Linked DNA regions of Drosophila melanogaster. The protein of the gene in region 4 interacts with the protein of the main gene of each other region in a pairwise test. Each region holds a gene or a part of one and is shown on either strand. Other genes may lie near its edges. The genes, in order: Gadd45, dap, Set8 and PCNA.

Region 1 (6,250 bases), about 13 Mb from region 4:
GAGAACTTGACAGAGCTGTCATCCGGCGCGAACAAATCGAACCGGTTATGTCAGATAGAAATTTTAAAAATTTTCTTTGTAAATAAATAAAAATCGAAGTATCTGTAAACATATACATTGAAATTACCTGAGCTCTAGTAACAACTCTTTAAAAAGTAGAGAACCTTACAATTGGAATATATAACGAAATACACACATTTTGCGGAAATGTTATGGCTTTCTTTCAGTTTCAGCTTTGTTTGCCCTCCTTTTTTTTTAATTTCACCAGGTTCTCAAAACAAGTTTACCATCGTGCAAAGAATTCAGCCCTGCAAGTGATGTACATCTGCCCACCAGCGAGCAGCTGAATCATTTCGCCATTATTCGAAAGGCGCTGCCAAATGTTTCGCAATATTATTTAATGCGAGACAAGACCTAATTATTTGGAAAGAACGTTGCTCGCTCAGATAACCGAAACTCCCTTGCCAAAAGCCCCACGATAAATAAGAGAATACATTATGGTATCTGGTTTGGAGTGGGAAAAACCACGCATCGAAAAAATAAACTGCACTGCATTGGGGGTTTTTCGCAGAGAACTCTTTTGGAAACTGGGTTTTCCCTGCAGCCAATCGCAGCCAAATGGGAAATCCCCCAGCATAGCCGCACTGCATACAAAATTGCACCTTGGAGACCTCCACGCCGGCGCGAGATATCTCGTTTTCCAGCGTGATGCTGGTGCACGTGAGGATTCGGGCGGCATTCATCGGCCATTCATGGTGGCTTGGTGACCGGTTGCAGGTACTCAGACTTGCGGACTTTGGACCGGCCTAAAATGGAATGCCGATAGCCGAATGCCGAATGTGGGGGAACTCTTCAAAAACCAGTTCCCACTCTCTTTTGACTCTTTGACTCATTTGGCTCTTCGCTTGGCATTTGGGTTTCGGTTTGGGTTTGGGCCCAGTTTAGTGCTGCGCCGGCGTGACTCAGCAGTGGGGCAACCGCCGGCGAAGTGCCTCCGATCCATGCCCGATCACTCCGTGGGCTCCACGATTCTCCCTCGAAATAAGCCAGCAATGAAATCCATCCAATGTGGTGGCTTCACATGTGATGGGCGCATGTTGCACACACAACTGGGTGGCATGGCACACAAAAGCAACGGGCAGAGGTGCCATTGAAGTCCCACGCAAAAGGCTAAAAATATCTGAATTCCTTGGGTTCGATTGTGACGTGCGGATCAAGCTGGATGAAGAACCAAAACTTCTAATCCGCACGTTCGCCGCAGCAATAGAAAATGCTGTAGTGGTGCCCTTTATGCACTTGTGACAACTCGAATTCCGCGCTGGAATGACAAGGCAATAGTTTTATTTTCTGTCACTGCAAATGCGTATTTAAGTAATAGATATGCATATTTGTTATAAAACAAGCTAAAATGGTACTCACTAGTATGATTATCTTGAAAAATATCACATGGGGTTAGAAACGGTAAAATAAGCAATTTTTAAGTACTACGATTAGTATAATTTGCGTATATGCGTATAATTTTTATGAATGGGTCAATTATTAAGCATAACAAATATAAAATATGCTTTTTATAATGATATTTTCATAATTACAAGTATTGGGCGAACAGATGACCAATGATGTCTGTCCGGTTTTAGCTAGAAAACCCCCAAAATGCCACTGCATTTCCGCGGTTCATTGGCCACTTTCGAGGCGAATTTGGCGCGCAAATTCGTAGCTGAGTCGGCGATTTCCAACTTTCAGCACTTCCGCGGCTGATCCACTTACTACAGGTATGCCCCTCATAAGCACGACAGTTGTTTATGTTTTCGGGTCTAAATACATGCATAGGTCAGTAATTCGAATCACCCTACTCTTAATCATAGTAGTATGTTATTGAAAGACCAGAAGCTTCTTCAAATTGCATGCACATATATATGTACATATTTACATACATATGTTATTGTTATGATCATGGGCTGACTATCAGCTTGGTTGGGTTGAGTTAAACATATCACCTGCCCAGATGCACAGATGAAAACAAGTGATCTTAACCTAAATATAACCCTTCTTATTTTGCCTTCTTTAGGGTTGTATACTTTTCATAGCTTTTTACTTTTTTTGTCGTAAATCTTGCTGAATTACATGCTGCAGCTGCCCAGGAATTGTTTTCAATTCTACGCTGCACGCTCAGCAGTTTGTTCAACTCCAAAAAACCAAAACACATGTATGTATGTATGTACATACATATGTAGGCATCGATTTTCAGGTGCTATTTATAGCCTTAACAAAACCTGCGAACCTATGCTGATTCGGCGATTAAAGTAATAATTAATTACTAAAGTGCACGGCCAGCGGTAGTTGAACCCCTTAGGAGAAGCGAGCTGGAAATTCCGCCGGATGGCGTAGTTCTCGGGTTCAATTGATAAAACTCAGTGGCGATCTCGACTGGCGATTCCGACACGTTCCCACGTGCCGAATGTGCAGCGCGGAGGGGGGGAATTTAAAATTGGAATGCCGCGATAAATTGATTAGCAACTCCCTTTGTGTTTGGACATGCGATTCTGTTTGTCCGGCCGTCTGGCCAAATGCAAAAAGAATAAGATCGTGCGAAGCCTGGCCAGAAATAAAATTCGGGTTAACTTGGGTAAGTAAGGTCATTCGTTAATCATACGCCTAGTATACGCGAGTTGCGCATACGTCGCGTTGGTCGCCGAGATGCGACACACTTGGACCTGTTGCTCGCCATCAGCCATCAGGTATTAGTGGTCCATTCACGGGGTTCTGGCGAAATGTATGTACTAAATTTAAGAAAACCGTTCAAGTGAAATTTATTTACGAATTTTTGTTCGAATTTTGATGAGCAAATTGCGATTTACTCAAAGCATGTTCGCACACGATTTTTTCGCGCGAAAGATAATGAAAGCGAAGCTCTTACTTAAGGGAGACACTTTCCCTGCCTTTGCGAGTGGGAGAGCCGAGTTTCCGGGGGAGCCAAGTTTCCTGACCCCATTTGGAGCGTCCAAAACTGCAGATTGCAGTTTGGGTGTGATGGAAAGAAACCCCCAATCTGCTAATTGCCGCGACATCAACGGAAATCTTTCGGATCCCAAAAAAAGTAATGAAAAAACCCGATTTGGCTGAAAGAGCGCAAGAGCGGGAGAGCGAGCCCCCCTAAAAAGCTCTCGCTCTCGCATTTCTGATGAAATTCAGTGGAATTCTCAGGCGGCGGAGAGCGCGGCTATAAAAGCGTTCGCTCGCCAACCGAAAGCATTCATTGTGAAATTGCCACTCAAAATTGAAACAGCGCGGACAAACGGTTGAAGAAACACAAAGCCCAGTGCGAAAAGAATTTCATAAGCAAAAGTTAATCGGGTGCTAAACAAAAACACTCGAAAGCAAAGCAAAGCATAGCAAAAGCAACAACAAACAGTGCCAGCTGAAAGTGCCCAAAAAGTGGAAGCCAACGGCTCGAAAATAACACAAAACCCAAAGCAAACGCACAACCAAACGGATAACACCCACAATATGGTCGTCGAGGAGAACTGCAGCATGCACCACCTGGAGCGCGAACTGGACCTGGAGCTAGAGATCGATATGGCCATGGAGTGTGCCCCCATCGGACGCACCATCAAGTCGGCCCTTCTAAGGGCCCAGAGCGAGGCGCGTGTGATCGTGGGCCTGTCCGCCGCCATCAACGTGCTCTCCAAGTCGCCGGAGGGATCCCTCTTCTGCCTGATGGCCCAGCCCAAGGACGGCGACTCTGCCACCCACATGCACGAGGTACTGCTGGAGGCCTTTTGCTACGAGAACGACATCTACGTGATCAAGGTGGACGACGCCACCAAGCTGAGCCGCATCCTCGGCCAGGACTCCGTCGAGTCGTGCTGCCTGGTCCAGAAGGTCTGGGCCGACGCCCCCGAGGAGCAGCTGACCAAGGCCGAGAACCAGCTAGTCGACTACTGCGAGGCCCACTGGGACGCCCCCCAGCAGCCCATTGTCCAGCTGCCGGCTGTGTAGGCGCGTGTGAGCGGGACAGCCAGATGTCACAGAATTGAATGGCCCCGCACAGTGGGCGCAAGCAAACTCTAATGGAAACCAGTTGCTGGGGGTTGATGGCCCCGAACGTCTTGGAGAGTTCCCGAGGGAATCCGACGTTTCGTGGCGCTGCCAGAAGCCCACCGGCACATGTACACCTACATAGGATATATAGAATACGACATATGTATATACCCTAACCTGCTGTATTCAGGAAGCAGGAGAGGGAGGAGGGGAGCAGAGATGGATAAGCCGGCGCCTTGGCGGATAATTGAAACTGAAAGGCGACCTTCGAGGCGGCAGTAACTGCAGCTGAGATACCCGCGGAAGTCGCGCACAGATACTCACGCACACAGCCAAGGAGCAGCATCACACACAAGCGCGTGACCAGCTGCCGAACCAACAAAACATATGTGCACATATGTACACAGAACCATACATAAATATAGCCAATTTGTTTCTGTATAATTTTCGCTTTAAGCGTCGCGCAAATTTACTGATAATGACAATTATTCTGTACGCCGTAAATTGTAAATTATACTTAAAAGGAGAGCAGCCAATTGCATGTATACCATTAAAGTTTTGTTATGTTAGCTTTTCCAAAAAAAAAACATCAGATGAAAGCACACAAAAAAATGTTATCTAACTTAAGCACAAAAAGAAAATTGAAAAAGGTTTGAAAAAAACTGATAAAAAATGAAAAATAAAAATCTTGTATAAAAACCAAACTTTCTTCGTCTTGTTTTTTGCCCATCCCTTTCAGCACTCTCTTCCAGCAATCCAAACTGACGTCAATGGGTACAAATCCCTTGGATTTGGATCGGGAGGCCGCCCGACTCATCAATCTTTGCATAACTGCCGGGGTTTCCCCATCGAGCGTGCCTTGCATATAGGGCCCCATCGGACGCCTTATCAATGAATTCTCGGAACCCAGTGGAATGGAAAACACGCGTGAGCGCCGAAATCGGGGCCATCCATCTGGGGGAGACTGGGAGAAGCCCTCGGCTCGAAGTATGCAGTTTTATCAACTTAGATAATGGGTGCGAGAATAGTCAGTTTGCCTAGTTAATTGTTCCCATCACTGATCAGTGGGAAAGTCAATTAGAAGTATGGGTCATGCTTATAGGGGGAAAAAAGTAAAGCACCGTGGAGCACTTGAGTTAATCAGAGTCAATGGGCGTTATAAAAATCGTACTGGGATATTTACGATCCAATGAACGAGACAATTTCATACGAGACCCACTTTGTTTCATTTGCGAACACGCTCGCGATCATGCCAATTGACTTGGCCAACCAGACAGATGTTGAGCATCGAGACACGTTAATGTAATCAATGCCAGACATCGCGCTATGTTGGCCTAATGGATGGATGGACCGGACAGCAGAGACAATAAATAGATAGCCCATCGCACGGAGGAGCTGCCATGCGAGCAGCTCGTGCCGTGGGAAAATCACTGGGAAGAGTTTGCCACTGATTAGGACCATTAGCATGGATCCATGTGGCCAAGACATAGGTCAGTTCGGCGGATCGTCTGGACACGACGCGATGCGATCGGGCGGAGATAATTTGGAACAGTTTAGCGCCTGTTCCAGTCAAATTTTCCGTCTTTCCGAAACAAGACTTTAAAATGTGGTTAGTTATGGCCTTAACGTGATAATCATAATCATCCTCTAGTAGAACTCTGTTTGGAGTAGCAATTCATTATGTATTGCCAAGTCATCGGTTAGCACAATTACATAATATTGAGCAACTTATTCGTTTTTTTCAGATCGATATACTTCAATTGCATACTTCGATATTTATTGTTCCACTTTAGAGAATATTGTTTGATTAGCTTGTCCATTGCACAATTGGATAACTGCATCGGTTCGAGGCGGTTTCAGATTGCCTATGCCCTTCTAATTATCACTTCTCCTATTGTCTCAGTGCATTTCAGCGACCTGGTGCGACATCCAATTGGGTTAATTGCCGGGTGTTCGGCAAAATCCAAGTGATCTGTTAGCGCTACTTACACAAGCCATCCCCACTTAATCATCGCCGCGTGTACTTTACCCCGATCCAGCGAAACGAGCGTGAATTCCAAAGAACGACCAGAGTGCTCAATGCCAATTCCGATTCGGCCAAGTCACTGCGAGTTGGGTAACGAGCCATGCGGCCATTGACTGGCCAATTGAAGCTTTGGCTTTGGCTTTGGCTTGGGGCCAAGCTTTCCCCGCCAGCTGGACAACTGGA
Region 2 (8,995 bases), about 11 Mb from region 4:
CAATTTGTCCGAGCAAAAGATCCAAGATACCAAAAAGTCATTTATAAATGTCCTGCGCAGAGATTTTGTAATATTAATGATTGGTCATTTGCCAGGAAGAAATGCTTTGTAACACTTGGAGAAGATCGTTTGGGTTGTTTTTGGTGTTTTGATGGGGATCGCTACGACTGTGGCTGAGATATATAAATGGCTTTGCTGCTCAGATGGTCATTAGTGCAATTAATCCCTGGGTCCTAACTCGAGTTATCCCAAAAAAGTTTCATATTATTAAAAATCAATTAATAGGTTTCTGGTTTTTCAGGATCCTAACGTAATTTTATGTGTCTACTATAAAAAGTATATATTTCCAATTGGCCCTTTTCTTACCTATTAAAAGTTATTAGTTCTTAGTGAGCCACTCCCACAACAAGTTGGGTTGAACCCCTGAAATGTCCTTAGTCGCAGCACACCTGCCTAGCAAAACTTCCAAAATTGCGGTCACAGTTCCGTGCGCCGAACAGTTTTTATGGTAATTTTCTTACGGAGCCGAGAATGTTTCAAAAAAATATCTTACGCCACTTTCGAGCGTTACTTAGCAGGCCGGTCATGCTCGCTGAGCATTTGCACCCCCACCGGAACACGTGGCGGATCGGACTAGGTTCTTGGCTATGAGTTGCCATATAGAGTGGGATATCTCTGACCTCCTCCTGGGGTGGAATGGGCTGGCTCGATTGTCCGCTGTGTGCTGAGGCGATAAGACGCGTTGCATTCGAAATGAGTGTAACGTATATTTTATACGAGACAAGGCAGGACTGGGCTTTGTTGAGGTTTTAGTAGATACGAGATAATGTTCTACCGACCGCGCGACCTTTGACTAGGAAACACTGATGATATTTGCCTAGCCCTTATCTACTCGGGGGGGGGGGGGGGGGGCCATAGTTGAGTGCATATTAGGGAATTCGGATAAGATCCAATTCGATCCTACCAGCATTAAGGACTGCAATCAAGTGAATACCTTGAGTGCCATCCAATGCCCGCACGTTCCACGACAATCCTTTAGGATCTGCCCTCATAAGCGGGACACTTGAGAACCGCTTTTCCACCTCTTTTCTCAGCCTTTTTTTTTTTTGTTTTTCCGCGTGTGTTGACACAACCCATATAAAGCCAGGATATCCTGCTCGGGAGGAAATTACTTAAAGGGATCACGAACTCTTCCCCTTTCGAAAAACTCCTTCTTGAGTTGTTTATGTTTTCAGGCATGACTGCCGCCGAACGCCAGTAGAATTCTCAAATTTGTTATAAAGTGTGTAAATTCACGTTGCTTTTCTTTTTGAGGGAGGGTGTGTCCCATAAACAGAAAACCGAACCACAAGGGATCGGATCTTATGGGAGTGGAAAGGAACGAATTATGGATGGATGATGATGCTGCCTAATCGAACGTTCGTCAAACGATCTCTGCCTTTTTTGGGGTGATTGCACTCCGTTTTTTCTTGTTTTTTTTTTTCTCGGGTTTTTGTGTGGAAAGCCGATGGGTTTTCCCATTATTTCGTCGAGTGCAAAGGACAAAGCAAATGATGTCTTTAGTCTACGAATCTGACTTCCAAGGCTTTGTCCCAATTCTTTCCTTCTTATTTAATTGGATTTGTTCAAACAATATAAATCTCGTTTTATTGCCTTTGGTAGTGTAATTTAATTTTTTACGATTTTGCACACGAAAGGAAAAAAACTTTATGAAAATGCAGCACGAAATGAGCAGAAAACTTGCGTTTCACAAAGTGAACCATAACGGAAATTTGAAATACCCAGTGCTATGCAAACACCACAAGGAAATTCGAACTAGACGTGCACATTATTTTACATACATACATACATACATCGTACAAATGTATATTTGGTGGACCAGTGCCCCACAATGCAAGCGCGATTTTCCCCTTGGCAACACGAGGAAAGTGAAAAGAATTGGTGCCCCAAATGCCCCCTGCCACTTCCCTCCGACGACTAAAAATCCAGTTTGAGGCCAAACAAACCAAAACCATAACATCGTTTTTTCGTATCTTCCCATCGCAATCGCAACTAAAAGTACAGCTCCACCGATGCAACAACAACCAAGAAGGCAGCGAACAGAACACACGGATGGAAATGGCAGGGATGGGTAGATGGCGTGCGAGAGAGTGGGAGACATATGGTGAGAGAGAGAGAGGTTGTGGAAGTTGTGACGACTTTCTTGATACGCTCTATGAAGGAACCTTGGACAGTTTAAAATATAATTAAATTGGTTATTTCAAAAACATTAAAAATAAAATCTGGTTGAATACTGTTTACAAATGAACTATGGGCTTATGAGCTGTGAATATTATTTGACAGGAAATAATGAAAATAATGATAATAATAATAATAATAATAATAATGAATACGTATTATATATTGTACTATATGATGATTCCAACAATCAATAATTATATTAAAGCTCATAATATCAAAACTTTTAAACTCAGATGCCTTAGTTAAATTTTGTTAGGAAACTTTTATTTTTCTGAGTATTTTTTATACGTTTGCTATATAAGTTTAAAGAACAATTCAAAGGAAGTGCATTGCTCTTTCGATATGATTAACATTAAAAGCGCATTCTTTTTCCCTATCTCTTTCGCTCCTGCTGCTTTTCCGATCTTTTCGAATTCGAGGGTTGCTACAGAGAGAGCGTGAACCGCTCTGAATTTCCAGTTGGCAACGCCTCTGGTGGTTGTTTGACGTTTGCTTTTGCCCAGTGTTTTATTTATCTTTTATTCGTTTCTCCGAGTTCGTCGAGAGAGGTTCGCTTCGATCGGTAGCGCTATATTTAAAAATCTAGTGCGCAGTGCGCTCATAGCCGAAAAGGTTAACAAACATCGCTGTAAAAACGACTTCAAGTTGTAAAGACAAATATAATACAAAGGTGCTGCCATTGGCAGCTAACTCATACAAAAACTCCAACGAGACCCGCAAACGTTTCGTTTTGTGAGTCGACTAGCAGTGCAGTGTGTTCGAATCGCCATTCAAAGATAGTGACCAAGTGCTATTGGACCAAGGCATTTGTTTATAATTATTTTTATAAACAATTGCAGCGTGAAATTTCACTTTTGAACGCAGCAAGACGTAAAATAAGCTGCAGCACAACGCACACACAGAACACTCGCTCTCCCTCTCACATACACACACGCTCGCGTGTGGAGACCGTGATTTGTATTCGTGTGGAGACTGCCTCTCTCTCTTTTGGGGCTGTCTGAACACAAAGTTTTGGCGCCAAAAGTTTGACAGTTCGCTTTGGCGTGTAATTCGCAAACAAGTGGCAAGAAAAGTGCGTCTCAAAACAGAGTAGAAAACACTAGGGGATCCCAAAAAAATATATATTGACTCAACATGGTCAGTGCCCGAGTCCTGAATCCTGTGATGATCAGTGAGTTCTGCAAGATGAGCAGCAGCCCGGCGGTGAGTCGCAATCTGGCATGCGGTCGTCAGTTGAATCGCATAAAGCGTGACCTCTTCGGTAGCTCCAAATCCGCCGAGGGTACAGCCAACAAAACGTGAGTTTCTATAATAACAGTTGGATTTTGACCAATAGCTAACAATATATCCTCTTTAGACCCTTTAATTCCGAACTGGAGCGCCATCAAGAACTGGCCACGCAAAAATGGGGCTTTGACTTCCGCGCCGGCTGCCCTTTAGCTGAAAAATCACCCTACATTTGGGAGCGCGTCAGCTTCCAGGAGTCGAGCTTCGCCCCAGAGATGTACACCCTAACACGGGCCGCCCACGTACGCCCTTCCGCGGATGCAAGTCCTAGCGACATGGACATTTTGGTCAACGAGCGCTCAGAACGGGAGAACTTTGGCTCCAATCTGGTCAATTCCTCGCTAGAGTCGAACACGGATAATGAATCTTGTTACGACTCCCAGGACGAGTCGCTGGCAATGCGGCTTAGCTCCTCCAGCACGACAAGCACATCCTCCATAGTCCTGCGCAAGAGACAGCCAAAAATCACAGGTGAGTTTTGGGGGATGTTCTACACCATTTTGATCAGTAGAGCTTGACGGTTCCCAGGGTCAGGCTTCATTTCACTTCGATAGACGTTACAAAGTGTTTTCCCATAGCTTTCCTTTTATTCCCTGTTTATTTTCGGTTCTCAGGAGGAAGTTGAGGGTGTTTTTTTTTTTTTTTTAACTTATCAGGCTTGTTTTGTAATCGGACTGATACGATATTATTTTTCAAAATTATCTGTAGAGTAGAGAGTATTATCTAAAAATTTCCGAATATAGTGCTCGAGATATAAAAGTAGATTCGTGCTCTTTGTTTTGCAAACTCGATGAAAACGATTTTCATCAATGATTTTATGCCAAACCAATATTTTGTGCAGGATTTTGTACTTACAATACTAAACTCCATAAGGGGTTGTTTGATTGGTTTTAAGTCCACTCCTTCGCATTTATTGTTTATATTCACGTTTTAGTTGTGGGCGTTTTTCGTGAAACTTAGACCCAAATTATAGCAATTAGCCAATGCTTTGTGGGAGATTTATTTTCGTCCAGAAGGGTAAGTCAAAGCTGACTGCAGCTGTTTCAGCTCCTCATCTCCCTAAACCGAATGATTCTCTTCTGATCCTCCACAACGCGGGGGTTGGTTTCCAGATCGATAGCATGCGGGCTGGCTGGCTGCATCTATAAATGCCAACAGCTGTGACTCCGCTTTGTCTATGGCCTGACCTCATTATAGAAAACGGGAGAGGGGTCTGGGGATCGGCTTTCAATGCACCACCATCCAGAGTCCATGGTCTTATCAAACCTCCCTTTGATTGCTTTGTACTGAGCGTTTTTTATAAATGCCACTAGCACATGCATGTGTAATTATAATCATAAAAAAATTGTGTCTGTTCGGAACATAATAAATGCACCCGCATCGGGTGGTCAGTAGGGAAGCCTTTGAATCCCCCAACGCCTCAACTCGCTTTACTTAAAGTGCACTTTTTGCTGCTTTGGCCAGTAAGCTAGAGCTCATAATTTATGCAGTTATGTAGCACCACCACTCTTGCTTTCACCGGACTACCTGAAAACCGGCTAAAGACCGACTGTCTGGCTGCCGTCTGGCATTTATTTGCTACCCCTGTGCGGATCTGCAACCCTCTGGTAGGGAAGTGCTGCCGTCCACGTGCCACAATCTGGGAATCTACCCGAAACCGAAATCAAAATGTGCAAAAACAGAAAAACAGGCGGCGCCTGCTGTTTAGGGATCAGTGACTTGTGAACAGGGGCAACCGGAAATGCAGCAGCTGACTTTGATTTGGCAATTCCACCTAACACGTATTAATAACACTCGTTTTCCTTCCTTTGTTTACAGAATTCATGAAGGAGCGCAAACGTCTGGCCCAGGCACCCAAGAAACTATCGCCCGCAAAGCGCATGCGCACCAGTTCTCCCAGTTCGTCCGCCACTTCCAGCTCCAGCTCCAGCGGTGGATTTGGGTTGGGGGCACACTTTGGGGCGATGTTGAAGCGGCCGCGCCACAACTAATGCTCCAGATTCGCTGGCCAACCCACCGAATTGCAATTTGTAATTTTATTTTTTACAAGCCACTGCGATTGTGTAGTATTTCCTAATTTTTTATTACGAACCTTTTTATGCAGTGCAAGGGCGACAGTTGCGAATATTAATCGTTAGTCTTCAACTACTCGTAACCAGTAATTAGTTGTAAGTCAACCAGTAAGCTCGAGCTAAATGAAACTTTTTAGATTTCTCTAGTGAGAAATGCCATAAACTAAGTGATTAGTTCTTAACAACAAACAACTATTGAACAAGAAGAGAGAGACCGCAAGCTAAATGGAATTAGTCTTAACTATCTTGAAGCCAACCGAAATTTAACCTTTATAACGATGGAATACTAACTTTACATAACTTTGTGAAATCCTTGCAAATTTCGCCGGCAACTTTTGCATTTGAAATTTGCCGGGTGAACAAAACTCATCCTTTCTCTGCCCTGCCACTTCATCCAAGTACTGAAACTGAGGGGAGAGTAGAATTGAGTTTTGTCTTGCATATTAAGGGCGCCAAAACGATGCCCCAATAAGCCGCATTTCGGCTCATTGCTGCTTTGTTTTTGCGACCTACTAACATTGTAACCAATTCGACCAGTGGAAAACAAAAAAAAAAAAGAGGAATGCCTTTGAATTAACTTCGTCAATTTCTGCACGTTTGGATGCCTTATTTATATGAATGCCGCCGAATGGACACAAATTGTCGCGCTCTCATTTCTTAACCAGTGCTAAAAATGTCTTTTATGATTTGCTATGATCTCTGGGCAAATTATGAAAACAATTTTGCCTGAAACTATCATGTACAAAAACTAGATTATTATACATACTATACACATAGGCAGAGCCTATTCTTCATAACACTTATACAAAGCATTAATTTGTAAGGCCTAACTAAGAACAAATCCAAAGTATTCTCCTAATATTTATATGTATAGACACTCTATGTATAATTAAACCATATTCAACTCATACATCAATAAACAAAACAAAAACAACGCGATTGTCCTGTTTCAAAATTACCAACACATCCGCATTACTTTGGTTGTAGACGTAGCAGTAAAATGTAGTTTACTAAAACAATTTTGTACATTTTATAAGTTAATATTTGTTTTTCTGCAATAAATTGTTTTTGATTTTCTAGTTGGTAGTACATAAATCGCGTTTTTAATTTTTAATTTCATTTTTATAAAATATCGTGGGATGCCAACAAAATTCAATCCCGCGTCAATAGAAACGAATCATTGCTTCAGTTTTATTCAATAAATTAATTTGATTTATTGCTTACATCAAGTACATAAATATTAATTTGTTCCATTCGACGCTTTGTAGATTTACCTATGTGCCAATTAGTTGATCTGTACTCTACATACAAATATATATATCGCATATATACAGAGGGCTGTGGATATGGGCACCTACTTGCCCGCCGCCTTCTCCTCCAGCTGGGCTTGAATGTGGCGTACGTTGTGGCCGCCGCCATTGGGGTTGTGGCGCTGGAAGAAGGCGTTGATGGAGCTCATGGAGCGGTACTCCAGATTGTCGCTGACCCGCCAGTCCACGCTGATGCTCTGGTGACGACCCACCGGATTGCGGATGCGGGTCTCGTTGTATTTCTCCAACAAATGCAGCAGGCAATCCTTGGTGGTGTTGGCCGCCTCCTCCAGATTCACGGTTTGATGAGTGTCCGGCAGCCCAACGGGCACATCGCGACTCATCTGATTTATCCTGAACTTGGCTCGACGACTGCTGGCCGATTCGTTGCTGGCGCTGGTGGTAATTGGATTGCTGGCGCCGGTGGAGCTTGGGTTGCTGGCGCTGGTCGAGATTGAGTTGCTGGCGTTGGAGGCTATATAATTGCTGGAGCTGGTGTTACTGCTTCTGGTGCTGCTGGAGATCACCTTGGAAGAGGTGGTGCTGGTTCTTTGTACTTGCTGGTTGGTGAAGCTCCTGGCATTGGAACTGCTCATGGTTTGCACCGTGGACTTTCGCTGCGACTGGACCAGGGATTTGCTAGAGGAGCTATTTCCGTTGCTTAGCTTGGGTGTTTCCTCGATGGACTGCTGCAATCTCACAGACAGCGAACTGATCTTCGTCTTGCCCTTTCCGTCATCGTAGGTGCTTTGGCTCTGGGAACTGCTGCTGGCCTGGCTGAAGAGTCCTCCTTTCAAAGTGGGACGATTCCAGCTACTGCTCGAAGTGGTTTTGCTGGTCCACCTATTGCCTTCCTGGCTGATCTCCGAGGTTTTACTAGAAGTACTGCCAGAAGGAGCAACAGATGCTGGAGCAGTTGAGGTTGGCACAGGAGCAGCAGCAGCAGCAGCAGCAGCAGGAGGATCAGCAGGCGCTCCACTGCTGCTCCCGTTATTGTTCGCATCCCCAAGCTTGGTGTTGATCTCGGCCAGCATGAGCAGGTGATCGGATAGCTTTCGTATCTCATCCGCCAGATTCACCCGCTCTCCGGAACTCCGCCGACCCAGCAGGTACGTGGTATCCGAGTTCCTTCGATCGAAGGTGTGCAGATAGCTCTTCATGCTGCGCTGCTGCTGGGCGGTGGACTGGCTGCCAGAGAACTCATCGAAGTTCTCGTTGAAGAGATGCTGCGGCGTGGGAGTTGACGGACTGGAGGTGGCTACCGTCGGGAACAGCTTCTCCCGAGACTCGTTGATGGGCGTGGCCACCGAGCGAGGACTCTCGTTTTCCGCACTGCGGGATTCGTCCTCTTCCGGAAGATCTTCAATATCTCCCCGTTCGTCATCCGTCAAAGTGGATATTGAATCGCAGGGCGAAGGCGAACAAACTGGAAATATAGCACAGACCTATAAGCATTTTTCCATAGAAGTCGTATATGTTTACATAGAAGTTATGGGGTTATTGCCAAAAACTGTTTTCAGACGGGTTAATGTACACAATATGGTTATATACATACGGATCGAGCATGCTCATGAGTTCAGAGAGTTGTGTAATATGGCTCTTTGGAACATCAAAATGTGCGTTTGACTAATGTTCTACACAAAAAAAAGCTATGCGTCAATACAGCTGCTAAAGAAAAGGTTATACAAAATTAATATTTCTCTTACGAATTGAAATATTTATAATTAAATTGTGTTATTAATTCTGATTCAAAAGAAAATTTTACTGAGAATGAGCTATATTCTTTTACATGTGCGTAACTTTTGGATCTAACTTTTAACTTTTTTTTGAAACTTTGATATATATAGTAATTCTTCCTGACGGACAAACCACAAATGAACATGAGACTGACTTTGGAATTTGACTGCGATCTCTGCGGATGATTGGTGTTCTGAGCTGGATGTTGGGCTTACCTGGCTGGCAGACCAGAAACTGTGGCTATACGAGCATGTGTGTTGATCTAAATCTGAACTGGGGATTAGGGTAGTTTCTAGGGGTTTCGGATTTGGGATTGGATGGGATTGGTAAGGAGCGAAATCGATTTGG
Region 3 (9,428 bases), on a different chromosome or scaffold from region 4:
CAATGCTCTGTCTAGCATAAATGCCGAGGAAATGGCCAGGATAGAGGAGTTGTTCTCCTCGCAGGCCAAACCGCTCACCATAAGCGCTTCGGTGGCCAAGAAACCAGCTCCTTCCACGCCAGCTCAGTCTCAGCCTCAAGAAGACGATGAATGGTCGGACTTTGTCTCTGTTCCAGTCACCCAACAGCAACCGCATCATCAGCAAAACGCAATTGCTAACAACAATAATATAGTCAACAGCAACGCTAGGAAACCAGCTGCTCCCAAAGAAGATGATTGGTCGGATTTTGTGAGCAGTACTCCGCCAGCACGACCGGCTCCACAATTCAATTCCGGTGCGTGGCAGAGCGCTAATTTCTACAACAATCCCTTGAGTTTGTACCAGGCGCAGCAGCAGCTGCAGCAACAGCCTCATAGCAATCTAGTGCCCAAGGGCAGCACCAGCAGCAGCAATAACAACAATGTGCCAGCCATTCCACAGCAAATACACATCATGCACGACTTCTCGACTGCACCCGTGTCTGGAGGATTGGGTGTGGGTGCCACCTACCAGCAGCAGCATCAGCGGCAGCAGTTCCAAATCGGCAACGCCAAGGTGGCTCCACGCATCTCCCTGATCCCCGATCTCAGCTTCGTTGCACCGGCCTTGCCCACAAATGCTGGTGCGTTCATGGGTGCGCTACCGAAACCCACTTTCGGTGGCAAGAAATGACACAAGAAGCTGAGGGTGGGCGGTGGGCGGCTCCAGCAGCAGCAGCAGCGTCCGCATGTGGGCGCTCCTCGCCCACTGGGTGGCGGCGAGGCCACCATCCTCACATAGGCGAAAGGATCGATCGCGCACCCGGGTAGCCAGTCAGTATTATGAATCCGTCTGATATTCACCATAATCCGAACCGTCACACATTGTAGTTTTGAGGCAAGCTGTGTTCCATGTTGTTGTCGTTGTTGTTAACCTTGTCGTTGGCATAATTGTTGTTGTTGTTGTGCATGCATGTTGTAGTCTTAGGCGTAAAAATCAGGATTTAGAACGAAACAAACAAGTAACCATTTTGTGCTATAGTTTGATTCTAAATTTATGTTTTACTTAATTTGACGAAAAAAATTATACTTTTGAAAAATAATATTTTGTAGAGCGAAAAAACTGTTAGTATGCTTGAAAAATTCTTTGTTTTTATCTAATATTATTTAAATGATCGGATATACTTTTAGAATTCGAATTATTGGGTAAATAAGTCAAAAAACTCTAGAAGAATTGTAAAGTAAAACGAAAAAGAATACCGCACACCAGTGAAATTATGTAATTTAAGGGATATTTCTGAAATCCTGCGAGATTTTAAGGTTTAAGCTTATGCATCCGATAGCATGCAATATCTCTATGCGGTCATATCAATATAACAACATAAGATTTATCATAGATGACCAAAAAAGAAAAGATACAAATTAATAACAAGGATTTCGGAAGTATCCCAAGTAAGGAAAAAATCGGCATTACTTTTAAAAATGTAAAACTATTAGTTCCATGATGATTTTAGCTTTAATCAACCCCAAAGTTAGAACCCTAAATCGGAAAACTCCGCCTATCTGAGGAATATCATCAGTTAATCCCTGCGGCAAAGCCTACAAATGCATTCCACTAGCGGCGAACTTCCCCTTTTGTATATCCATAACAAATACTCCAATGCGATTGCGGGCCACCACCACCACATGGATGAAAACCCAACCCGCCTGATGCGAATTTTTTCTATATTGTGTACTTATAACAAGCGACAGGAAAGCGAACTAACCAAGCAAACATAGTTAACGTGTTGTATATGAAATAGGATTTGTTAGTTGATAGAAGAACTCCCATGCATTCCAAGTGTAAATGAGTGTGACTGGTTGCCATGATGATCTCCAGGTAATCGCTGGAAAACGAAACCCAATCCGCTCCAGTTCTTGATTATTGTTTTGTTCGTGTTAATGTGTTTTCATTTATTTATTTTACTTTATGTTACGCACTTTAAGTTGAATGTGTCTGTGTGTGTGTGTGTCTGAAAAATTATAAACAATTATCGACTAAAACTAAGTGTTTGATGTAATCATATGTTTTTAGGCTTAAATGTAAATTACAAATAGATTTCAATTTGTTTTGTTTCATTTTGCCAAGTCAATGAAAAAAAAAGGTAAAAACAAGAACATGATTATAGATGGTTGCTGCTTGGTTTTAAATAAATGAATTACCTATGTACTAGAACGTATTAAAATATATTTACCATATTGTATAATTAAAAGATATGCGCTGATTAAAATAAACCTATTTAAAAAAACAAAATCCTTCAATATATTGGAGCATTCATTTAAAATACAGAAATCTGGTTCAAATGGGACAACACAAATTTGAACTAAGTCGATTAACTAACGATGCCGTATTTTCGGGGGCAGGGGCGGGGTGATTTATCATTTAATTGCTTGAGTGTGTGATTGAAACCTGCGTGTAAGTAGAGAGATTATCAGTAAGTCGAAGCACTAGGTGTCCAGCAGGCCACTACTCTCCTGGAGAAGCCTCGAGAATTAATGAGTGTGTCAATGGGTTAAATCAACAATTCAGTAGTGTCAGTTCCTAGGGGTTTTTTTTTTTTTTTTGGGACAGGTGCGAGGGGGAGTGTATAGCTCTATGGCAGTAAATAGTACGTAATAGTTAGAAATTACACATGTATCTAATATAAATATCTATATAAATAGTGTACAATCGATTCTTGTCAATGTGAATGCGTGGCTTCATCAACATCATCATCTCTTTTCAAATGGTCAACAGTTTTTCGATTTCATTCAATTATCTTAAGATGCCTTAATGCTTAAGCGCGTTGTTTTTATTATTATTATTATCATTATTATCTCTCCTTAACTTTAGCCTTGCTCTAAACATAATGAAACGCTAACAAATCCAAAAAGATGCTCATGAGTTTGTGTAAGGAGGGAGGGGGAGGGGGGGGTTGCTTGGATCACGGGTGGATCGATAATGAGTCTTATAGGGATTGAATCGTAATCGTACAATTTAAAGGCATTTTGCTTTGGGGATCATGGGTCTAATATCAATTTACAATCTGTATAGTCTAGGTCTTTTTGATAAATTTGTTCTTAATTGATAATTTCGATTATTTCACTGACCCAAAGGGAAATATTAACTTCATTTGTAACTTATTTTGGTAACGCCGAAGATCGAAATTGACATTAGACCTATTTCTGAGGCAAACTTGTTAGAATTTACATTGATTACTTTTCGTCCCTGGCTGGAACCACCCTTGGGTGTGGGGCGTGTGGGTTTCGCTATCCGTTATGATATTTTGAACTAACAGTTTATATACTTTTCCTCAAATAAGATCTAAGCTCGGGGCTGCCCAGAACCGGTGTCAAATACGCCTCTCTCCATTCCGATCCAAATTGCCGGAATTCGTAATGATTGAATTGGTCTTACCAAAAATATAAGTGCTTGCAATATTGATATAATTTTGCTTAATGAAACTTTGTAAATGAATCAAATTCCGGCAACTTATCACACGGAAACAGGTCTGAAAACAATTTTGCAGTGGTTCAAGGCAAGGCAATCTACGTATAAAAGCTAAGAAAGATTCCCTCGAGCCAAAAACCAGTTTAGCCCAGGTCTTATTATTTTAAAGATTCTCTGCCCTGAACATGGTAAATAGTCTTCGTTTTAAGGCTGTACCGCAACCCCTTTCGCGAGCTCCTGGAGAGCTCTTCCTCAGAAGGCCAACCAAGGATGGTGCAATAGTGACTCCTTCGATCGGTCCCCGTAGTCATAGGTCAGTTCCTCGCCCGGCTCGATGTCGTCCTTGGCCAGGAGTACGAGATGCGGCCGCTGTTTGATAAGTACTACTTTGGTCATTAGGTTACCAGCCCGCGAGTGATTGATGAGGCGCCCCAGCTTGCCGGTGTCAACGGTTGCATCGATGCAGTACTGCTGGGACTTGTGCTTGAAGTAGTACATATAGCACCCAGCATTCTCGTCCAACGCATAGCGTTTCTCCCGTTCCGCGGCTTCGCCTATAGATATGAGATCTCCCACATACTCAACCACAAATTCGTTGCGTTTAAAGGGCCGATCGGCGACTACGCCTCTTCCCTTGCCCATAAAGTGGCGTACTTGGAGACCATCGCAGCGCTCTTCCAGCACTGCTTGCTCCAAGCCTCGCATCCATTCCTCCTTGACGGCCGTCTTAGTCTTGCGCACACTCCTTCGCACCGGGAAGAAGTCCGTCATCTCACGATTGCCGTTGGTGGCAGCCAAGGGCAGCGGCGGTTGTCCCTTCGTTGGCCCCTTGCTTTTGGTCTTTGATTTCACGGGCGCAGGCTTGAGCATCGTTTTCATGCCTGCTTTGTTGCTGTTCGCTGTGGCTGGTGCTTTGTTCTGGTTTTCACGCTCCTCGGCAGCCTTGATCAGGGCTCGAACGTCGTCCTCGTCATCTCCTTCATCATCGTCGTCGTCTAGCACCACGACGATATCATCCTGCTGCTGCTGCTGCTGTTGTGACGGTGGTTTCTGTAGCTGTGGCTGGTAAGGCGCTTGTGGCTTTGGCTGGTTCAGTCTTCGACGCGACTTGCAGGCTGCCACCGCTGCTGTTGTGGTCGGCAGTTTTCGAGGAGACTTGCGCGGCGACAATGGATCCGCAGATCCGACCTTGCAAATCCCTCCAGTTACCTTCAAAGCCGTTTTGATTGGCGAGGGGCAGAGGATGCGATGCGGTGTGGCTGGTTTTCTGCGTCGGGGTTGCCCCGCTGGCGATTCTGTATTGGCAGTGAGACCACAGGCTACTCCGCTGTCGCAAGAACTACTGTCATGTTGATCCAAATCGAAGTGCGGCAAGTCCAGCGCCTCCTTTTGTCCATTCAGGCTTACTATTTGATTGAAGCGTCCATTGAGACAGGCGTTTAGCACCGACGGAGGTGATGAGAATACGGCTCCGGCCAGTTCGAAGCTCCGATTGATCTTTATGCTGGAGGCTTTGGTGGGCGTGCGATCAATGTCCAGGGTCAGTACCGGCTCCTGCAGGAAGATGTTGTCGGTGCTGCTGCTGTGCGTGGAACTGTGGCTGTCCCTCAGCGCAGAGCGATGTGTCTGGAAGTCGGCCAGAGAGCCCAGTCCCTCGAGCGGCTCTGTGACCTTTTTGATGTGTGGAATTTCTGGAGTCTGCTGGATCTCCTGCATGACATCCATATCATGCTGATAAAAGGGCGAATTGGAGGACGCTCTGGAACTGCCATCGAACAGAAGTTCCTCCACCACCTGCTGCAGTTCCTCATCCATAAGCTTTTGTTCTGCCTTGGCATCTACTTCGTCGGCAAAGGGAAGGTTTTCATTTATCTGCTTGTCTGCCAGCTTTAGCACCTCGTCATCTAGTTTTATCTGTCCATTTAGCTCCTCATCGTCCAGTTTCAGTTCCTGATTTCCTAGATTCAACTGCTCCTCTGTGTGTATTGTCTTTTGGGAATCCTTAGCGGCAGCATTGGCTTTGAAGAAGTTCTCAATGGTGCGAGTTTGTGAGCGCGTGGCCAAGGGAACTCCTTGAAAAATAACAAACAAGGGGTATTTTAGCCAACACAGCTAACCTAAAAAGTACGAGAAGCGTACTCACCTATTGTGCGACCCGCTTTGTTGTCTTTGTTGTGTGCCATCATTGTGGCTTCCGGCAGTTGGCCATTTTGAGTGACCTTCATCAAACGGCAGTCTTTCCGCTTGGGGCTGGCAAAATACTGATCCTCCAGCAGATTTCCCGCCACATTCAGTGGCAGTGCCTGGTCAACAGGAATTCCCGATCCCGAGGAAGCTCCACCAGAGGATGAGGATGCGGCTTCCTTGGCGGGCCGTTGTCGTCTTCGCACCATTATCATTTAAAATGGGTTGGGGGCGCGTGATCGCTGTGTGGGCGGTAGTTACTTGGGTTTTTTTTTGGCGTTGGCGCGTTTTTTTCTGGACACGCGTTTTACCTCTCACACGCACACGCGGAAAAACCAAACTGCAATTACCTGAAGGTAACCGAAAAAAAACAAACAACAAAATTAACGTAGAACTCATAAAACAATTGCACATTACATGTGTGTTTTTTTTTCCTCCTTTTCTACCTCTCTTACTCTCGCTCTCTGCCATGCACTTTTCTCCTCTACTCGCCCCTCTTGCGTACAGTTTTCGCCACTGAAAAAACGTAGTCGTTATTGTTGTTGTGCGAAGCGAGCGAAAGAGGAAGAAGACCAAAAGAAGGGAAAAAAAGAGGGAAAATAATGTGAGTCCCCGCAATGCACCTCGCTCGGAAAACTGTCGTCATACGCAGAAGCGCATTTTTAAACGGATGCGATCGACTTTATGCATGGCAGCATTTCAATGGCGGGGGAAATTAATTGTTGCACTTTTCCGCAAACTTTTTTGGTTCTTTCTTTTTTGCGTCGGTTAGTGTTACCAGATTGCGCATCTGCTTTCACCTCTCGTGTATGCGGCCTCATTTTGTAATACCAAATTCAGTATATTTTCATATTTTCAGCATGTTTTAAAGCTGTGTTGGGCAGTACTAAAGTATTAAGTTGAAAAAGATATGTTAAATCAATTTGACTAAATATGAATTATTTATATCTAAGTGGTCTAATGGTACCATTAGAAAAAGACGAAGGTTTTGGATTTATTACATACATTTTCTAATGACCTCATGTAAATGGTATCTGAAACAACTCTATTATTTACACTATTTAAATATTTAAAATACTCTTCTTGGATATTAAAAAAAGACAGTTAAGTAATTCATAAAAATCCTGTGTTTTATTAACCGTTTACAACAATTTTTTTTACATTTTTGTAGCATTTTTTGCTAGTTTACAATAGATTTCACATTGAACGGATAGTGGCTAATGTTTTCCAAACACATTGGGTTCGGCGGATGCTCCTCCAGCGGCACTCAGCTCTTCTAGGAGTTCGTTGGACTGGCGATGTCTGTTGGGGATATTGGCACTTGAGTACAAAACATTCTCGCCATTAGAGTTGCTCAGTCTGGGATGGGCGCTGTTTTCGGGATCCGGATCTACTCGGTTGGCATTGAAGTCCGAACCGGGGACACAGTTTCTGGCAATCAGTGAACGTTGGAGCTGCGATAGACAGCTGGAGGAAAATTTTAAAATATTACTTTAATACATAAAAAACAAGAAAATAAGTAGGAATGAAGTGTATAAGTAGGGCAATTATAATATATAATTCCTTAGTTATATGATTTTAATAGGTATCTAATGGAATGTTTTTGGGTTATCATATTCTTTATGTATTTTAAAAATAAAGTTGTATATTTCTGTTATTCTTTCGATGAAACTTACCGCTCGAGCCTACGATCGCTGCTCCAATCCTGCAAATCGTAGAGATCCGTGAGTCCCAGCTCGCTGGCCCGATGGAGATGGCCGTTGGCCAGGAGGGGAGATGCGGCGTTAAAGGACCTCTTGCCGTTGGTCCATCCGCGGGAGTACTGGAAGGTCTGGCCCATGCACATGGAGAGCGTGAAGAGGAAGAGGGGCAGCAGCAGGAGGCGCAACATGTTTCGGCAGAAGTTAGTCCTGTTTGCAGGACACTCGGTAATCTCGGTTGGTTCCTTTCGCGTTCGAATCACAACTGCGTCTGAACTATTGATGCTCCTCGACGGGCTTTTATATCGTTGTTAGATAGCCATTAAGGATTGATGCCAAAGGATGCGTGATGTGTCTGCGTTTTCCTCCAGAATCCTTGCTTCAATGCCCTCCAGAAACACACACTTACCCAGATTAACCGGGGATTATTAGCACCCAATTGTTTCAACTTGGCAGTTAGCGCCCACATGTGGCCACGCCCCCAGCTGCCGCCACCGCCCCTTGTACCAACGACAGCTGGCTGCTCAAACTGAATGCATTTGCTGATTGGAAAACTACCACTTTTCCCGGGCAAAATCCGAAAGTGGGTGGCAAAAGGCAAAAGGCAAAAGGCTTAAAATAAAATGCTTGAGCCGAAAAAGTAATTTTCTTCCCACTCCAAAAGGGGAGTAAAATGTCCAAATTAGACTTGGATGACCTCAGGTAAATGGATTTGCAAATGGACTCGGCCAAAAATAGCAACGACTTTAATTAAGTTATATGTGGACTAGTTACAACTGTTTTTAATATGCTTACTAACTTTAAACTCACACTTTCAGCAAATGAAAGTTAAAGATCAACTCGTTGGTAATATAAAATGCTATAAAAATTCCCTATAAATATACAAAAAATATACAATTTATATTATAAATATATAAAAATATATATATAACACGGACTGGCATTAAGTACGTTACAGACTAGTTATTTCGCTATCGGGCACCACGCTTGCCCGATTGCCACCATTTGCTCCACCATTCTGCTCCATTTCCACGACGCTCTTCTCCTCGTTGGCCTTTCGACGCCGCAGCAGGAAGTAGCACACACTAGAATTAAAAAAAAAAATCATTTATAAATTTAGAGTTAACTTATGAAAACCTTAAATAACTTACACGAAGACCAAGACATTGGGAATGTAGAAGATTTCGCCAAAGAGCCAAATGGCACCTGGGAATGAATCCACCGTGCTCTTGTAAATCTCACTGAAGATTGGCGGGAAAATGAATTGGGCAATTGGCTCACTGATGCCAAAGATGGAGTACATTTTGCCTGAAAATTATTTAGTTATTATTATTTATTTAAAAAAATAAAATCCACTCTAAAAGTAGCTTAGCCCGAAAGTGTATTTACTAATTAGACGCAACCACATTTCAACTGCATTCCAAAGCATTCAAATTCTGCTATCTGAATATCAATCTCTCTCGTCTGACTAACCGGTATCTTATAGTCGAGACTATAGCGTTGACCTTAGTAAACTTACTCAGCTCGTCGCCAGCCACAATGCTCGAACCGATGGTCTTGATGGCAATCACTCGCAGACTGACGAACATGTCCACCACACCAGCAACGTAAAATGAGGCAGTGCTGCTGGAGAAGGCCTGCAGGAATTCAAAAACTATGCATATATACCACTGAATTCCAACTAGAATCTAAAAACTTACGAAAAGGACGCGGGAACAGACAATGGACAGGGCGGAGAGCATGCCAATCATGGAGTCGGAGACCTTGAGTAGCTTGCTCAAGATGGCAGTGCCAATGAAGGTGCCCACCAGTGCAGCGCCACTGGACAGGGTGAGGTAGATACTAAAGTCGTTGCCGTTCCAGGCGAGCTTCTTCAGCGTGAATCGATACCAATAGTCGTTCTCACCGGAAGTGGGCCCGACGGTCAGGAAGTAGGCACACAGCAGCAGGATTAGCAACATTCTGAAAACATAGGACATCTTGAGTGGTAATCCATGCGGTATGGACTTCTTGTGGCTGGATCACCTGCCGTTATTGGGTCGCTTGACCAGCGGAAA
Region 4 (6,123 bases):
AAGCCCGTGGTGCCGTATCCGATCACCTGGGCATCGCACAGGACCACAATCTGATCCGCAACCACCTCGGCCTCGTTCATGTTGTGCGTGGCCATGATGATGCAGCGACCCTTGCGTTCCCGCCTCAGCAGGTCCCACATGTTGCTGCGCATTGCAGGATCCATGCTGGTGCCGGGCTCGTCCAACAGGAGTATCTGCAATACAGGAACTTTACACTAAAGGCCACAAGGATAGGGATAGTACCTTGGAGTTTCCGCACAGATTGCAGCACAGCATGAGCATACGCTTAATACCGCTCGGCAGATTCTTCACCTTGGTATTGGCAAAGTCCTGCAAGCGGCCGATCTCCAGATACTTGTCCGTCTCGGCAGAGGCCTCCTGCCGGTTCAGTCCCTTGAGGCGGCAGTAGAACTGGAGGTGCCATCGTGCGTTAACCTTCTCGAACAGCACATTGGGCTGCGGACAAATGCACATGGATTGCCGGGCTTTCCTCTGATTGGTGGCCAAGTCATAGCCGTTGATGGTGATTTCGCCGGCGCTGGGCCTTAAGAAACCGGCTAGCAGCATTAAGATTGTCGACTTGCCCGAATCGTTGTGGCCAAGAAATACGGTGATCTCGTCTTGGTAAAAGTTCAGATTGAGATCTTTAACTGCAATCCATTCGTTGAAGACCTTTTCAATGTTCCTGGCCCGCACAATTAAGGGATGGCCTCTGATGCCCGTCTCCTGCCCTTCGACATCGAAGTCATCGGATCGAGGTCGCCTATTCCATCGACACCAAAAGGAAGGCTGGACCGGAAAATACCACTTTCTATTTTGATAACTCCTCAGCTGTTCCATGTAAGCCAGCACCAGTATGCGCAACAGGCAGCCAAACAGCATGAAAAGGAGGATGGGGCCCAGGTGCACAAATTCATCCCAATCGGTGCGCTCAAAGAGATATGTCCAGTGCAAGCCCAAACGAAGGTTTTCGCTCTTAATGAACTGCTGCAGTCCCATGGCCAACGAGCTGTTCAGGAACAAGCAGACGAATATGGTGCGCGGCAAAGTGGGAACATAGCCCATGAGCAATAGGCGCCATGGCAGGCAGCCAATCAGGTGCACGATCACTATGGCCACTTGCACGCCGACCGTGTCCGAGAAAAAGGACGAAATCATGAAGGCCGACGTGAGGACCTCTAAATTGTAGACCAGCAGAAAGAACAGCACCAGCGACGAATCACTCAGCGAAAAGTAACGCCACTTCAGCAAGAGAACCATGAATACGGTGGGAATGGACAGGAGCAGGAAGGCCACCAGAAACCAGGACAACCAGTATATCCATGCCCTCACACCCATGAGTTCCAGCATGTCCCTCAAATGATCGCGCCTTTCCATCACAATCATCTAAAAATACCATTAAGCTATCATATATGAAAGTTTCTAACTTAGTGCATACTTGGGCAAGATATGCGGCGGATATGGTGACGGGCAGGAAGAGAACTCCGCCCAAAGCTACCCTATTATCCAATCTGTCCACTTCCGCGACATCGGGATAGTGCTGCAGGATTACTTCCGGCAGGACGACGGCTTCGTTTTTGGCCCTGATCAACGCCTCGCTGAGCTTGGCTTGCACAACCAAAAATCCCTCCACCTGATAGTAATCAACGTCCATTTTGGAGTGCTTCAAGATTGAAGTGTTGTCCCAAACCATCTTGGGATTCTTGCGTAGGTGAAGCGGAAAACGCAGGCCCACCGTGACATTAATCGGAAGCTCATTTATGTCGCTGAAGCTGTCATCAAACTCAATGCCCACGTAGCCATATGTATCCTTTCCTATCAGCGCTTTATTCAATTCAGATGCGCTGGCAAAGGCCTTACTGCCAACGGCCTTCAGATCGTGAACCACATCCTCGATGACAGCAGCCAAGACTAGATTCTCAGGTGAGTAGTAAATGTACCTGGTTGGTTCATGTGGTGTTGTCAGGGTGGCCTGGACTATTGTGGCAATCGGCTTATACATACGGCACTTTGGTTGTGATGTTGACGGGCGGGTACTTCACCGACGTCTCCTCTTGCGGCTCTCGGAACAAAGCCGTCGCCGCATAAACGAGGAAGACTACGATGGGCCCCACAATGATGATCACGCTGGTTAGCGTATTGGAGAACTGGAAGCGGGCCGTCTTGCATATGACCAGCCACAGCAGGCATATGCTGCTCTGCGTCTTCACCGGCGATTCACCACTGGACATATTCGTACAATTTAGATGACGCCAACACGTAAACAGATTAGAAATATAACAAACTTCACGTATACTCCGCACTAAAACGTTCCGGCTTCCGTGTTTTCTTTTATTTTGTGGTTGATGTGAAAATTAAAGTCGAATCGGAAATCCGTTCCGGCAGGGAACGCTGCTAAGCTTACTTCTTCTTGGACACACCCACGGTGCGACCACGACGACCGGTGGTCTTGGTGTGCTGGCCACGCACACGGAGGCCCCAGTAGTGACGCAGACCACGGTGGGAGCGGATCTTCTTCAGACGCTCCAGATCGTCACGCAGCTTCGAGTCCAAGTTGGAGGAGGTCAGCTGCCAGTACTTGCCATCGATGATGTCCTTCTGCCTGTTGAGGAACCAGTTGGGCACCTTGTACTGCAGAGGGTTCGAGATGATGGTCACCACCTTGTCGACCTGCAAACATGGCATTTAGGTTGGTGTGCGTCTCGAACGGATTGGGCGTGCTCAACTTACCTCCTCCTCGGTGCACTCACCGGCGCGCTTGGTAAGATCGACATCGGCCTTCTTCAGCACAATGTTGGAGTAGCGGCGACCCACTCCCTTGATGGCGGTCATGGCGATGCCAACCTTGCGCTTGCCGTCGATGTTCGTATTCATGATACGCAGGATGTGCTGGAACTTCTCTGGGATGACGAGCGACTGCAAGAATGCAAAGAAAAAACATTAGTATAATGCATATAAACCACGCCATTTTTGCCAACAGCTAACGGCATTTGCAATTCACTATAAATTTGTCGTTTGGCGCTCAGAATCGCACATATTTGAGGTAACTCACCATTTTGCCGTTTGTATTCTCGTATTTACTCCTCACTGTAAAGAATTAAGAGGTATTTTGTTTTAGAATTTTGGAAAAATCAAATGGGCAGCACACCACTCACCGGAAACGGGAAAAGAAAAGAAGGCCGAATTAATGTGGCTGCCTGAGGCGGAGTAAAAAACCTAAAATTGCCTGCCACGTTCGGGACGCGTGCTGTTAATAGTTCGCCGTGTGCTGTTAGGCGCACTCTGGTCCATCACTAATGCAAATTTAAAAATTCAAAAGGCGCCGAACTTTTGTTCAATGAAAATGCTTAAAGTGCCATTTAGATATGCTCTGTGTGCACATTTAAAAAATTAAACTTCATATTTTATGTTTCTTTATATTTTATATTTTATTCCCCACATTTCGTAATACGTTTTATCGTACTGCATCCCTAGAGCACCGTTATATGAAAGCTTTTCAGAATGGGTGAAATAAATGGTAAATTATATTAGCTATGCGAATTTCCAATATTGATAAAAATGCATTGCATTTAAGCACTCAGCTGCGTTGGACAGGACGATGTCGTTTCCCTGCGCATCGTGTGCACCATGGCTCGCGACGGCAAGCAGCACAACCTCGAGGATGTGGACATGTACGGGAATACCGCCCTATTGAAGGCCTGCTATTTGGGTCGATTTGAGTGCGCTCGTACGCTGCTGGAATTCGGTGCAAATATCTTTGCTATGAACTATTTTGGTCAAAATGCCCTGACACTGGCCACTTATGCTGGGCATTTGACTTTAGTAAAGGAACTGTTGAGGCGAAGATCCTACAAGGATTTCAATCTGTCCTCGATGATCCCGGCCCTCTGTGTGGCTACACTGCAAAAACACTCCGCTTTGGTGGCCTATTTTACTCAATTGGATTCGAGGGGCGTGCAAGAAACTCAAACAGTGCATGGTTAGTAAAAATCAAGTGTATTTATATAGTAACATTAAAGTAAATTTATTTCAGGTCTGGGAGTTGCAGAGCTGCGAGGAATGATTAAAGCTGCAGGCCGCTTAGATAAGCGCAATGTGCGCTCTCCTCCCACTTTTATTAGCAATCGTCTGCGTTAATGTATTGTCATTTTGTAATAATTTATTAATTTTAATGTTTGAAATAAATATACTCTGTAAAAAGTGTGAACATAATATGTTAATCAAACCAGTTGGCAGGCCGCTCGCTGGCTGCTATCGATAGATTCAGTCGATATCGCCCGTGGCTTTTCACATCCCTATCCCGCTCATTTAGCCCGCCTGAAAGTAAAAAAAAAAAACAGCCCACGTTAATCATTCATCCCAAAGTCACAGCCGCGGTAACATTACTGCTGTTAAATTCTTAAGCCCGTCATCAGTATTTAAATAATAAAACACATTCAATATGTTCGAGGCACGCCTGGGTCAAGCCACCATCCTGAAGAAGATCTTGGATGCCATCAAGGATCTGCTCAATGAGGCAACCTTCGATTGCAGCGACTCCGGCATTCAGGTAAAAATTGCACAAAAAAGATTTTAAATGCATATCCCTAACACCTTGTTCAACTTACAGCTACAGGCCATGGACAACTCCCATGTGTCGCTTGTCTCGCTGACCCTGCGTTCCGATGGCTTCGACAAGTTTCGCTGCGACCGCAATCTCTCCATGGGCATGAATCTGGGCAGCATGGCCAAGATTCTGAAATGCGCCAACAACGAGGACAATGTGACGATGAAGGCGCAGGATAACGCCGACACTGTCACCATCATGTTCGAATCGGCTAACCAGGAGAAGGTATCGGACTACGAGATGAAACTGATGAACCTCGACCAGGAGCACCTGGGCATACCGGAGACAGACTTCTCGTGCGTGGTCCGCATGCCGGCCATGGAGTTCGCTCGCATCTGCCGCGATCTGGCGCAGTTCAGCGAATCCGTTGTGATCTGCTGCACCAAGGAGGGCGTCAAGTTCTCGGCCAGCGGCGATGTGGGCACCGCCAACATTAAGCTAGCCCAAACCGGCTCTGTCGACAAGGAGGAGGAGGCGGTGATCATCGAGATGCAGGAGCCGGTGACGCTGACATTTGCCTGTCGCTACCTGAACGCCTTCACAAAGGCGACGCCATTGTCCACCCAAGTGCAGCTGTCGATGTGCGCAGATGTTCCGCTGGTAGTCGAGTATGCGATCAAGGATCTGGGTCACATTCGCTACTACCTGGCACCCAAGATCGAGGACAACGAGACATAAGTCAGCTGTGTTCCTCATATTTATGTCCCCGCATCGTCACCACTCATCTTCCCACGTTCACTTCATTCCTAACTTTTAAGTAAATCCGCATTTTTTGATCAATAAAAGCTATACTGTGTAATGTTAACTGGCTGAGTTGTACAATTGATTTTAGGGCGTAATAACCATTTATTCGCATTCCATATATAACACTGGGTATCGTTTAAGGAGAGAGAGATTGCAAACATATACATATTAAGAGTAGTGGTTTATCAAACACCTTGGCGTGGGATAGACAAAAAACCTTGGCATATCTCCGACATTGAAGTTTGTTAGCCTCCGCAGCTGCAGAAAATCTGGACATACCATTGGGGAGTTCTAAATCAAGGGTAATAATGGGCGATTATTCTATTCACTGTGTATAAGTACTCGTTCCGTATGAGGCACATAGTCGGGAGTTTTGCAACAAAGAGCTTTAAGCGAGTGTGTGCCTGCATTCAAGAGCATTAATCGTATGTAAATACATGTAATAAATAATGCGTGTTTACACGCTTCCAATACTTGCATACTTGGCTTGCTTATGCTAGAAGCTACATACATACGTATCCTATACTTAGTTTGTGAGTATATAAAACATAGAAAGCTGTGTCATATAAAATTGTATAAAAAAAACCTTTGAGATTACATATACGTAGTAATAAAAAGCAAGAAAGTGCGTATAACAATGAACAATTCAAATTGTTCCTGCGCATAACAAAATTCGATTTACACGCCTATGTGAGTGGAGAAATGGCCAATGGGGGTATAAATGCAGGTGACAAAATTTTACAGTGATTGTGAAATCCCATTGCCACTTACAA

What was found.
Region 1: the proteins of PCNA (region 4) and Gadd45 interact in a two-hybrid assay, tested with the Drosophila melanogaster proteins (one study listed by BioGRID).
Region 2: the proteins of PCNA (region 4) and dap interact in a two-hybrid assay, tested with the Drosophila melanogaster proteins (2 studies listed by BioGRID).
Region 3: the proteins of PCNA (region 4) and Set8 interact in a two-hybrid assay, tested with the Drosophila melanogaster proteins (one study listed by BioGRID).

What each region holds. Positions count from the first base shown.
Region 1 is NT_033778.4:7,245,914-7,252,163, forward strand, and holds Gadd45 (growth arrest and DNA damage-inducible 45), read left to right. Parts: upstream 1-3,247; 5' UTR 3,248-3,507; coding exon 3,508-3,999; 3' UTR 4,000-4,742; downstream 4,743-6,250.
Region 2 is NT_033778.4:9,709,565-9,718,559, forward strand, and holds dap (dacapo), read left to right. Parts: upstream 1-2,756; 5' UTR 2,757-3,375; coding exon 3,376-3,539; intron 3,540-3,598; coding exon 3,599-3,999; intron 4,000-5,346; coding exon 5,347-5,519; 3' UTR 5,520-6,692; downstream 6,693-8,995. Other genes in the region: sqa (spaghetti-squash activator), read right to left, coding at 6,955-8,336.
Region 3 is NT_033777.3:14,313,070-14,322,497, reverse strand, and holds Set8 (SET domain containing 8), read right to left. Parts: upstream 6,461-9,428; 5' UTR 6,295-6,460; intron 6,188-6,294; 5' UTR 6,118-6,187; intron 6,022-6,117; 5' UTR 5,887-6,021; coding exon 5,631-5,886; intron 5,560-5,630; coding exon 3,740-5,559; 3' UTR 2,004-3,739; downstream 1-2,003. Other genes in the region: Afti (aftiphilin), read left to right, coding at 1-712; Crz (corazonin), read right to left, coding at 6,889-7,138, 7,348-7,562; CG31321 (uncharacterized protein), read right to left, coding at 8,324-8,456, 8,523-8,679, 8,891-9,008, 9,072-9,333, 9,397-9,428. UniProt on the Drosophila melanogaster protein: Histone methyltransferase that specifically monomethylates 'Lys-20' of histone H4. H4 'Lys-20' monomethylation is enriched during mitosis and represents a specific tag for epigenetic transcriptional repression.
Region 4 is NT_033778.4:20,261,040-20,267,162, reverse strand, and holds PCNA (proliferating cell nuclear antigen), read left to right. Parts: upstream 1-4,279; 5' UTR 4,280-4,441; coding exon 4,442-4,549; intron 4,550-4,609; coding exon 4,610-5,284; 3' UTR 5,285-5,409; downstream 5,410-6,123. Other genes in the region: CG8908 (uncharacterized protein), read right to left, coding at 1-194, 244-1,386, 1,439-1,940, 2,005-2,231; RpS18 (ribosomal protein S18), read right to left, coding at 2,401-2,670, 2,731-2,916, 3,053-3,055; plu (plutonium), read left to right, coding at 3,502-3,517, 3,575-3,979, 4,034-4,137. UniProt on the Drosophila melanogaster protein: Likely to be an auxiliary protein of DNA polymerase delta complex and is probably involved in the control of DNA replication and repair by increasing the polymerase's processibility.